Linked DNA regions of Oryctolagus cuniculus. The protein of the gene in region 2 purifies or fractionates together with the protein of the main gene of each other region. This does not show direct contact. Links are inferred from orthologs where the notes say so. Each region holds a gene or a part of one and is shown on either strand. Other genes may lie near its edges.

Region 1 (3,746 bases), on a different chromosome or scaffold from region 2:
CCAAGGCTGTTGTTATCCCAGTGCTTGCTCCTCTGCTGTCAGGTGGACTTGGGCAGCCCCAGCCCTCTCTGAGCTCAGGGCCCCCACCTGCACCCCCACCCCCGGGCCTAGGGTGATCCGGCCAAGCTGTCACATCCACCAGCTCTCACATCCACAGCTTCCTGCGTCTCGGCTGTAACTGCAGAATCGGGCAGGTCTGAGCCAGGTCCCTGTCGCTGCCCATGGAGCCTCACCCTGGCCCCTGCCAAAAAGAAGTAGGAGCCCCAGGCCGCCAGACGAGTCGAAGCCAAAGCAGGGTCAGAGGCAGCTCCGCTTAGCTCTGCTGTTCCCTAGATGCCACTGTGCAGATCCGGCCTCCTCCAGGGGGGAGTTTGGTGCTGGCAGGCAGCAGGCCGGGTCAGTGTCAGCAGAGGTCGCAGGGGGACCCAGGAGCCAGCAGGTGTGGCATAGCCCTCTCCCCTCTGCCCTGGCTTCGGTACCAGGGAGCCTCCAGGTTGATCTTGGAGTCCCTTAGTTCACTGACCTTGTGATGTGGACTTAAAGCAGCTGAGGGCCTTCCAGCAATTTCTGCCTTTGCCCTGCTCCACTAAGAGGCCCACTTCTTTCGTGCCAGTCCACACACCCAGCTTGCCGTGGTGCACCTGAGCCTCCTCATCCCGCTGAAGATACAGAGTAAGTTTGCTGAGCTGCCCCAGAACCCTCCCAGAGACCTCAGGAGTCCCGAGCCCCGCCTACGCTCCACCCTATTTGTATATTCAATTAGGGCACCACCCTCTACTGGTAAAGGGGGCTCCCAAGCTGGGATAGGGGCAATTCTTTCTTCTGAGGCTGCTCGCATCCACCTCTAATTGTGTACTATCTCTTTAATCTGTTTAAGTAAATCCTGCTCCCAGTCTTGCACTTTATCTGTAGCTCTGCTTTCAGTTCTCACTCCCAGAGAACGTGGAGTAAATGCAGCTGGGGGCCCAACCCTAACCCCCAAACCCTTAGGAGCACCGAAGACCCAGGTGCGAGCCTGCGGTGGATGAAGCTGTAACTGGAGGACCCAAGAGGCCTTCTGGGAGGAGGTGCTTGATTAAAATCCCCACAAATGGGAAATGGGCCCCATTTGCAGCTGGAGCAGAGGGGGCAGGGGTGGTAACCGTGCCTCTCCGGAAAGCACCTTGCCTCAGGACTGGCCGCCGACTGGGTCCCCGTCCCCTTGCCGCCCACGGTCTGGGGGTTTCCGCGGGTGCGCTCCCTGCTTCGCCAGGGCTTTCGTTCCTTTTGAAACGCCCGTGTGATTGCTTCTTGGCCTTTCGGCTAAGATCAAGTGTGAAACGCACCTGTGGCCGTGGCACTTCCTAAGGACCCACCCCGGGGGTTGTCCGCGTCCCCCTCTCCCACCAGATCGCGTTCCCCTCGTTTATTCACTTTGCAAAGCTTTCTACGGAACTCTGGGCACTACTGGTTTTATGATGCAGCGGAGAGGCAGGTGCGTCTCCTGGGGGTTTCCGGAAACACCAAGAACCTTGCCAAAGCAGGAGCGGCCCGGCCTGGCTACGGGAGCGAGCCCCCAGTGTGACAGCCCCGAGAAGGTGGCGCCGGGCTCCACCTCGGACCGCCTTTAGCTTTCCTAGAACTGGCTTTGACCTCTACATTCATTCCAGCTCTGCAGGGGCTCGGACAGCCAGCACCGCCGGGGTCCCCTCAGGGCGCCACTGCGAGAGCGATCAGCATTTTCCCGGGTCCAAGAACCCGGCACTCTGAAACCGCAGCCTCTCTCAAACGCCAGGTCGGGCAACGGCAGCGCGGCGTGTCCCTCGCGCGACCCCGTCGCCGCGCCACGCCCCCTTCCTGTTCCCCGGAAGTGCGCGGGTAGAAACGGAAGCGCGCGCCGACTGGGGCTTGGCGCAGTAGTCCCGCGATGGTGGGGGGTGGCGGCATGGGGGGCGGCCTCCTGGAGAACGCTAACCCCCTCATCTACGAGCGCTCAGGGGAGCGGCCGGTGACGGCGGGGGAGGAGGACGAGCAGGTTCCGGATAGCATTGACGCACGCGAGATCTTCGATATCCGCCGCTGCAGGGAGCGGGCGGGGTCGCGGGGGCCTGGGGCGGGCGGTGGGGATGGGGGAGTGATGTGCAGCAACCTTTGGAGCCGTGTCGGGGCCGGGCGTCCCTGGCAGAGGGCGGCGACACGGGGTCCTTTTCCTTCACTTGCCACATCTTATTCGCTCCATCAATGATCCGGAGCATCCGCTGACCCTGGAGGAGTTGAACGTAGTAGAGCAAGTCCGGGTTCAGGTGAGTCACTCGCAGCCTCGGAGAAGGGCGGCTTGAGAGAGCCGGAGAGCCCCAGCTGGGCACCAGCGGCCACGGACACATGGGAGAGAGGGTAGTTGTGCCCATTGTGTGGATGATGAAGCCGAGGCCCAGAGAATTCGGACGCCGTGTGCAGAGTAACAAACTGAAAAGAGCGTGTCTGGCCTGGGGCCGGGTGTGACCCCCCCCTCCCTCCACATCTCCCTCCCACAACAGGTCAGCGACCCCGAGAGCACAGTGGCTGTGGCCTTCACCCCCACTATTCCGCACTGCAGCATGGCCACCCTTATTGGCCTGTCCATCAAGGTCAAGCTTCTGCGGTCCCTTCCCCAGCGTTTCAAGGTCAGTGGCATCCGAGTCCCCTGCGGTGAGACAGGCGCCAGGGTCTGTAACTGGAGGAAGGGGCACAAAAGGGCGTGAACATGGACAAGACCTCGGGGTGGGGCCTGGAAGGATCTCACAGACGTGTGGAGTGTGGCGGCCAGCGCAGTAGACAGCTGTGAAAGGTCTGGCCAGTGGGCCTCTGAGTCAGCAGTGGGTGACCAGTTCTTCGGAGTGGCTGTGGGTGAGATTCGGCTTTAACAGAAGGACCGGGACCCAGAGCTATGATTAGGAGGAAGGGTCGGCTGGAGGGCCGTGGGGGCGGGGCAGAAGGGTGGGAGCTGCGTGGGTGTTCAGGCTCCGGTTGTCTCCTTCCCAGATGGACGTGCACATTACTCCAGGGACCCATGCCTCTGAGCACGCGGGTAAGTGGGGGCTGGCAGCGCGGGCGGCAGCCTGGGGCCCCAGCCCGCGTGAGGCTTTCCCCTCGCCACGGTGGCTTTGAGGGTGAGATCGCAGGAATGCAGTTGCCAGAGACCTCTCAGTGAAAGTGGTGGCCCAGGCCAGCGCTGGGCTAGCAGGGGCAGCCAGGTGGGAGGGATCCCAAGAGGGCAGAGTAGATGTGAGCTCAGGAGGTTGGGGACCCGGGAAGGAGGCGCCTTGTTGATGGGGACGCAGCCTATACCCGGTCCCAGAGGTGAGCGCGCCTGACGCTCTGACCCACCTTCCCACTCCCTCCCTCCCTCCCTCCCACAGTGAACAAGCAGCTTGCCGATAAGGAGCGGGTGGCGGCCGCGCTGGAGAACACGCACCTGCTGGAGGTTGTCAATCAGTGCCTGTCAGCTCGCTCCTGAGCCTGGCTGCCGGCCCCGACTTACCACGTCTGCCCCCAGCTCCGTGCAGAGTGCACAGCCGTTTGTTCAGTTACTGACAGTGAGAAGCTAATGTTTTGCATTTTGTAATAAACCCTTAATTTATATTCGTTTCCCAACATGCCTTGGCATCTTTCATTGTGATGGACTCTTTTGGACTTTGGGAAGGGACAGTGATGGCGAGTGCAGAGAGAATCAGTGAGGTACAGTTTATTTATCTGTAAAATCTCTCCCAGTACTTTGATGAGGAAGA
Region 2 (3,646 bases):
TAAAATCTCACAAAATGGAGAACTATAAAAAAGTTAATGTAAATTTTTAAGTTAATATTCACCTAGAAAACACTTTTAATTCAGTGACAGGAGATGCCATGAGCTATGAGAATCCATGGTTGTAAAATATGCTCATGAAAAGAAAATGTTCTTTAACTATTCACATGTGTAAGTAACACACTACAATGAAATTAATGAGTTTGTGATATGAGAAATTACCCATCACAAAAAATGTTATAGACAAAAATAGATTATTTTGATTCACCACCAAGATAAGCCATAATGGTACCTCATCTTAAAATTTCATAGAATTCTCTATTTTTAAGATATTCAAAGGGCTGTCACTGTAGCACAAGAGGGTGAAGTCACTGTATACAGTGCCAGCATCCCAAATAGGTACCAGTTTGAGTCCCAGATGCTCCACTTCCGGGCCAGCTCCCTGCTAGTGTGCCTGGGAAAGCAGCAGAGGATGGCCCATGTGCTTGGGCCCTTGTACCCACATGGGAGATCAGGATGGAGCTCTTGGCTCCTGGCTTCAGTCTGGCCCAGGCCTGGCCACTGGGTCCATTTGGGGAGTGAACCAGTAGATGGTAGATCTTTCTCCCTCTCTAATTCTTTCAAATAAATAAATAAATCTTTTTTTAAAAAAAGATCTCAAATAATTTACTTAACTGTTCTGAAAATCAATTTTAAAAGTTTTATGAAAAATTCTAAACATAGTCAAATATAGAAAGAACTAATACAATGAATCTCCATGTACCCCATTACCTATCATGAACATTTATCAACATTTTGTCAATCTTTGCATTTCCTCCCCAGACTATTTTTCCTAGTTATTTTGAAGGAAACTGCAGACACCATATAATTTAGCCATGAACATTTTACCATTATTAGCTTTTCAAAAATGTATACCAAGAATTCATCACCTAACAATGAAATCCACTTTTTAGTCAACCTCTCAGTTTTCTTTCCTGATTCTGCTTACTAATGACTGCAAGTATTCACCTAGAAAAATACATCATAGTATTTTTTAAAAAAATTTAAAAGTCCCATTAACATACCTCTTGCCCAATGAACAGGGTAAAGATGTTTCCAAAGTGATCCGGTTTTTGCCAGCTGAGACCATTTCGTGCTTACTTGACTGCATCGACATAGTTCCTGAGGATTAAGATAACTGAAAATTGACAGCATTACCTCAGGAGGAAGATGGGTTATACCTGTGGAGTGTTCTGATACTTCTGCTTCTGAAATAAAAAAGAAAAAAATTATCAGTAAAGGCTTTAAGAACGCAACAAGAAATTACAACCACATTTCTATAAATAAAATCCAGTACCTGGAGTTAATTCCTTCCTGCTTGCAAGATGTGAACAGGAAGTAACATGTTTTACAGGTCCCATGAGGATGTTAAAATTGTTAAGAACCTGTAGGGTTAAACTATCATAGCCCAAATCATACTCCACCAGTGGGAGCTACAATAATGAATACACATTTGACTTCCTCTTACAAAAGCATTACAGCAAAAACAATACTCACTTTGTAGCATAAGTAGCATCATTTGGAAAAGGAACCAAACAGGTTACACAGCTTTAAATCAGTAAGTATATAGTAGGCCAGATTATGAGATCTCCAAGGCATTTTAATGACACCCACAAATCTCATATGTTCTATTCAGGCATTATGACTCCTGTTAGGACTTTCCACATGTTCCCTTTTTAATTTTCTTATTTCATATAGAAGGTCTGTGGTATCTAACTTCATTAACCTATACATAACTTACCTAAGTTATATACTAGTTGATACAATATAAATAGTTCTGATGCTGGTATACAATGAAAGGGACTCTTGTCAGCAACTACCAGAGAAACTAAGTCATTAGATGTATTTCTTACAATGTATTATTTCAGCAGCAATTTTTTGAAAGCAAATGAAAATACAGTACTAAATAAAAGATGTATACTAAATTCTACTACAAAGAATTTAAGAATCTTGTATATCATGTCTTCACAAAACGACTTAAATATAGAAATAGGATGATCAAATTGCTTTAGACTACCACTTTTAAAATGCCAAATATTTTAAACATAACACAGCTATAATTTGCTTTGAAGAAGAAAATTAAACATAATTAAGTGTGATGCTTTTAAATCTCATGTTATAATTACAATTAAACCAGATCTAACAGATCTTAGCTTGGTATATGAGGCACAAGCTGCATTTCAGAGTAAAGTATACAAACTTTATGGGCCTAATTACAGCTTAACTTACAATATTTTTGTTTCAACATGAGTTTAACCTACTTTATTATATAAAAACAAGAATAAAGGACTAATTTTAAAAAATTGTAGTCTATTTTAACAGGAAAACCATTGCTACCACCCATCAGGAAGTAAGGAAATTTTTACAAACCTGAGAATGCCAACTGTTTCTTTAATTATGTCTTAAAGGGCAAAACTATTAAAGATAAATAAGAATAAAAAATAAAGAGGTAGTCTGCTATGAAAAAAAAAGCAGGTATACTTTCAAAGTAACTGTATACAGAAAAGCTTTGTCATACTCACTCCCTTGAGTACTACTGGATATAAACATACAGAATGATACATGAAAAAGGGTAGAAATATAAGTAGTTTGCTCCTTGACTTATGATGAGGTTAGAGCACAGTAAACCTACTGAAAGTTGAAAATGTATTTAATTCACCTAATCTACCAAATATCATAGCTTAGCTGCACAATACATTGTGCTGTGTCAGCTTTTGCCTTTGTGACTTGCATGGCTGACTGGAAGCTATGGCTGCCACTGCCCAGCATCACTAGAGAGTATCATACCAAATACTGCCAGCCTGGGAAGAAACCAAAACAAAAAACGTGAAGTACAATATGCCTTCCACTTCTGCACCATCATATAGTCAAAAAAAATCATTAACTGAACAATTTTAAATTGGGGACCATCCATATGAATGATTTAGAAAATCAATGAAAAAAAGAAAAAAAAAGCCACTATGATCCATGGAATCCATAATGTTGGATTACACTATAAAAGTGCTCTGTTCATGGTGGTTTTCAATAACTTTGGTTGGCCAAATATTATTAATATTGTTTGCAAGCCAGCGCTGCGGCTCAATAGGCTAATCCTCCGCCTTGCAGCGCTGGCACACCGGGTTCTAGTCCCAGTCGGAACCCCAGTCGGGGCACCGGATTCTGTCCCGGTTGCCCCTCTTCCAGGCCAGCTCTCTGCTGTGGCCAGGGAGTGCAGTGGAGGATGGCCCAAGTCCTTGGGCCCTGCACCCACATGGGATACCAGGAGAAGCACCTGGCTCCTGCCTTTGGATCAGGCGGCCGCGGTAGCCATTGGAGGGTGAACCAACGACAAAAGGAAGACCTTTCTCTCTGTCTCTCTCTCTCACTGTCCACTCTGCCTGTCAAAAACAAAATATATATTGTTTGCATATATAAATTCATTCAAGAAACACTATACCGTTTATGACCCAAGTATATGAGATGATAAATCATAGACAACACTAAATTATAAAACAGAAACTACACAGATTGGACATTACACAATGTATACATGTACCAAAACATCATCACATGGCACACCATACATAGCACCATTTTTACACATTAAAATTTTTTAAATGAAATAGAAACT

Evidence for each region. Proteins that work in one complex are often made in the same cells at the same time.
Region 1: the proteins of FBXL5 (region 2) and CIAO2B purify together in Homo sapiens (affinity purification with mass spectrometry; 3 studies listed by BioGRID and IntAct, counting the BioPlex papers as one, with this or other methods). This does not show direct contact. The link is inferred for Oryctolagus cuniculus from reciprocal best matches to the Homo sapiens genes FBXL5 and CIAO2B.

The regions. Positions count from the first base shown.
Region 1 is NC_091449.1:49,764,980-49,768,725, reverse strand, and holds CIAO2B (cytosolic iron-sulfur assembly component 2B), read left to right. Parts: upstream 1-1,561; 5' UTR 1,562-1,906; coding exon 1,907-2,048; intron 2,049-2,202; coding exon 2,203-2,282; intron 2,283-2,516; coding exon 2,517-2,642; intron 2,643-3,000; coding exon 3,001-3,046; intron 3,047-3,377; coding exon 3,378-3,475; 3' UTR 3,476-3,612; downstream 3,613-3,746.
Region 2 is NC_091433.1:10,675,182-10,678,827, forward strand, and holds part of FBXL5 (F-box/LRR-repeat protein 5), read right to left. Parts: intron 1,245-3,646; coding exon 1,062-1,244; intron 1-1,061.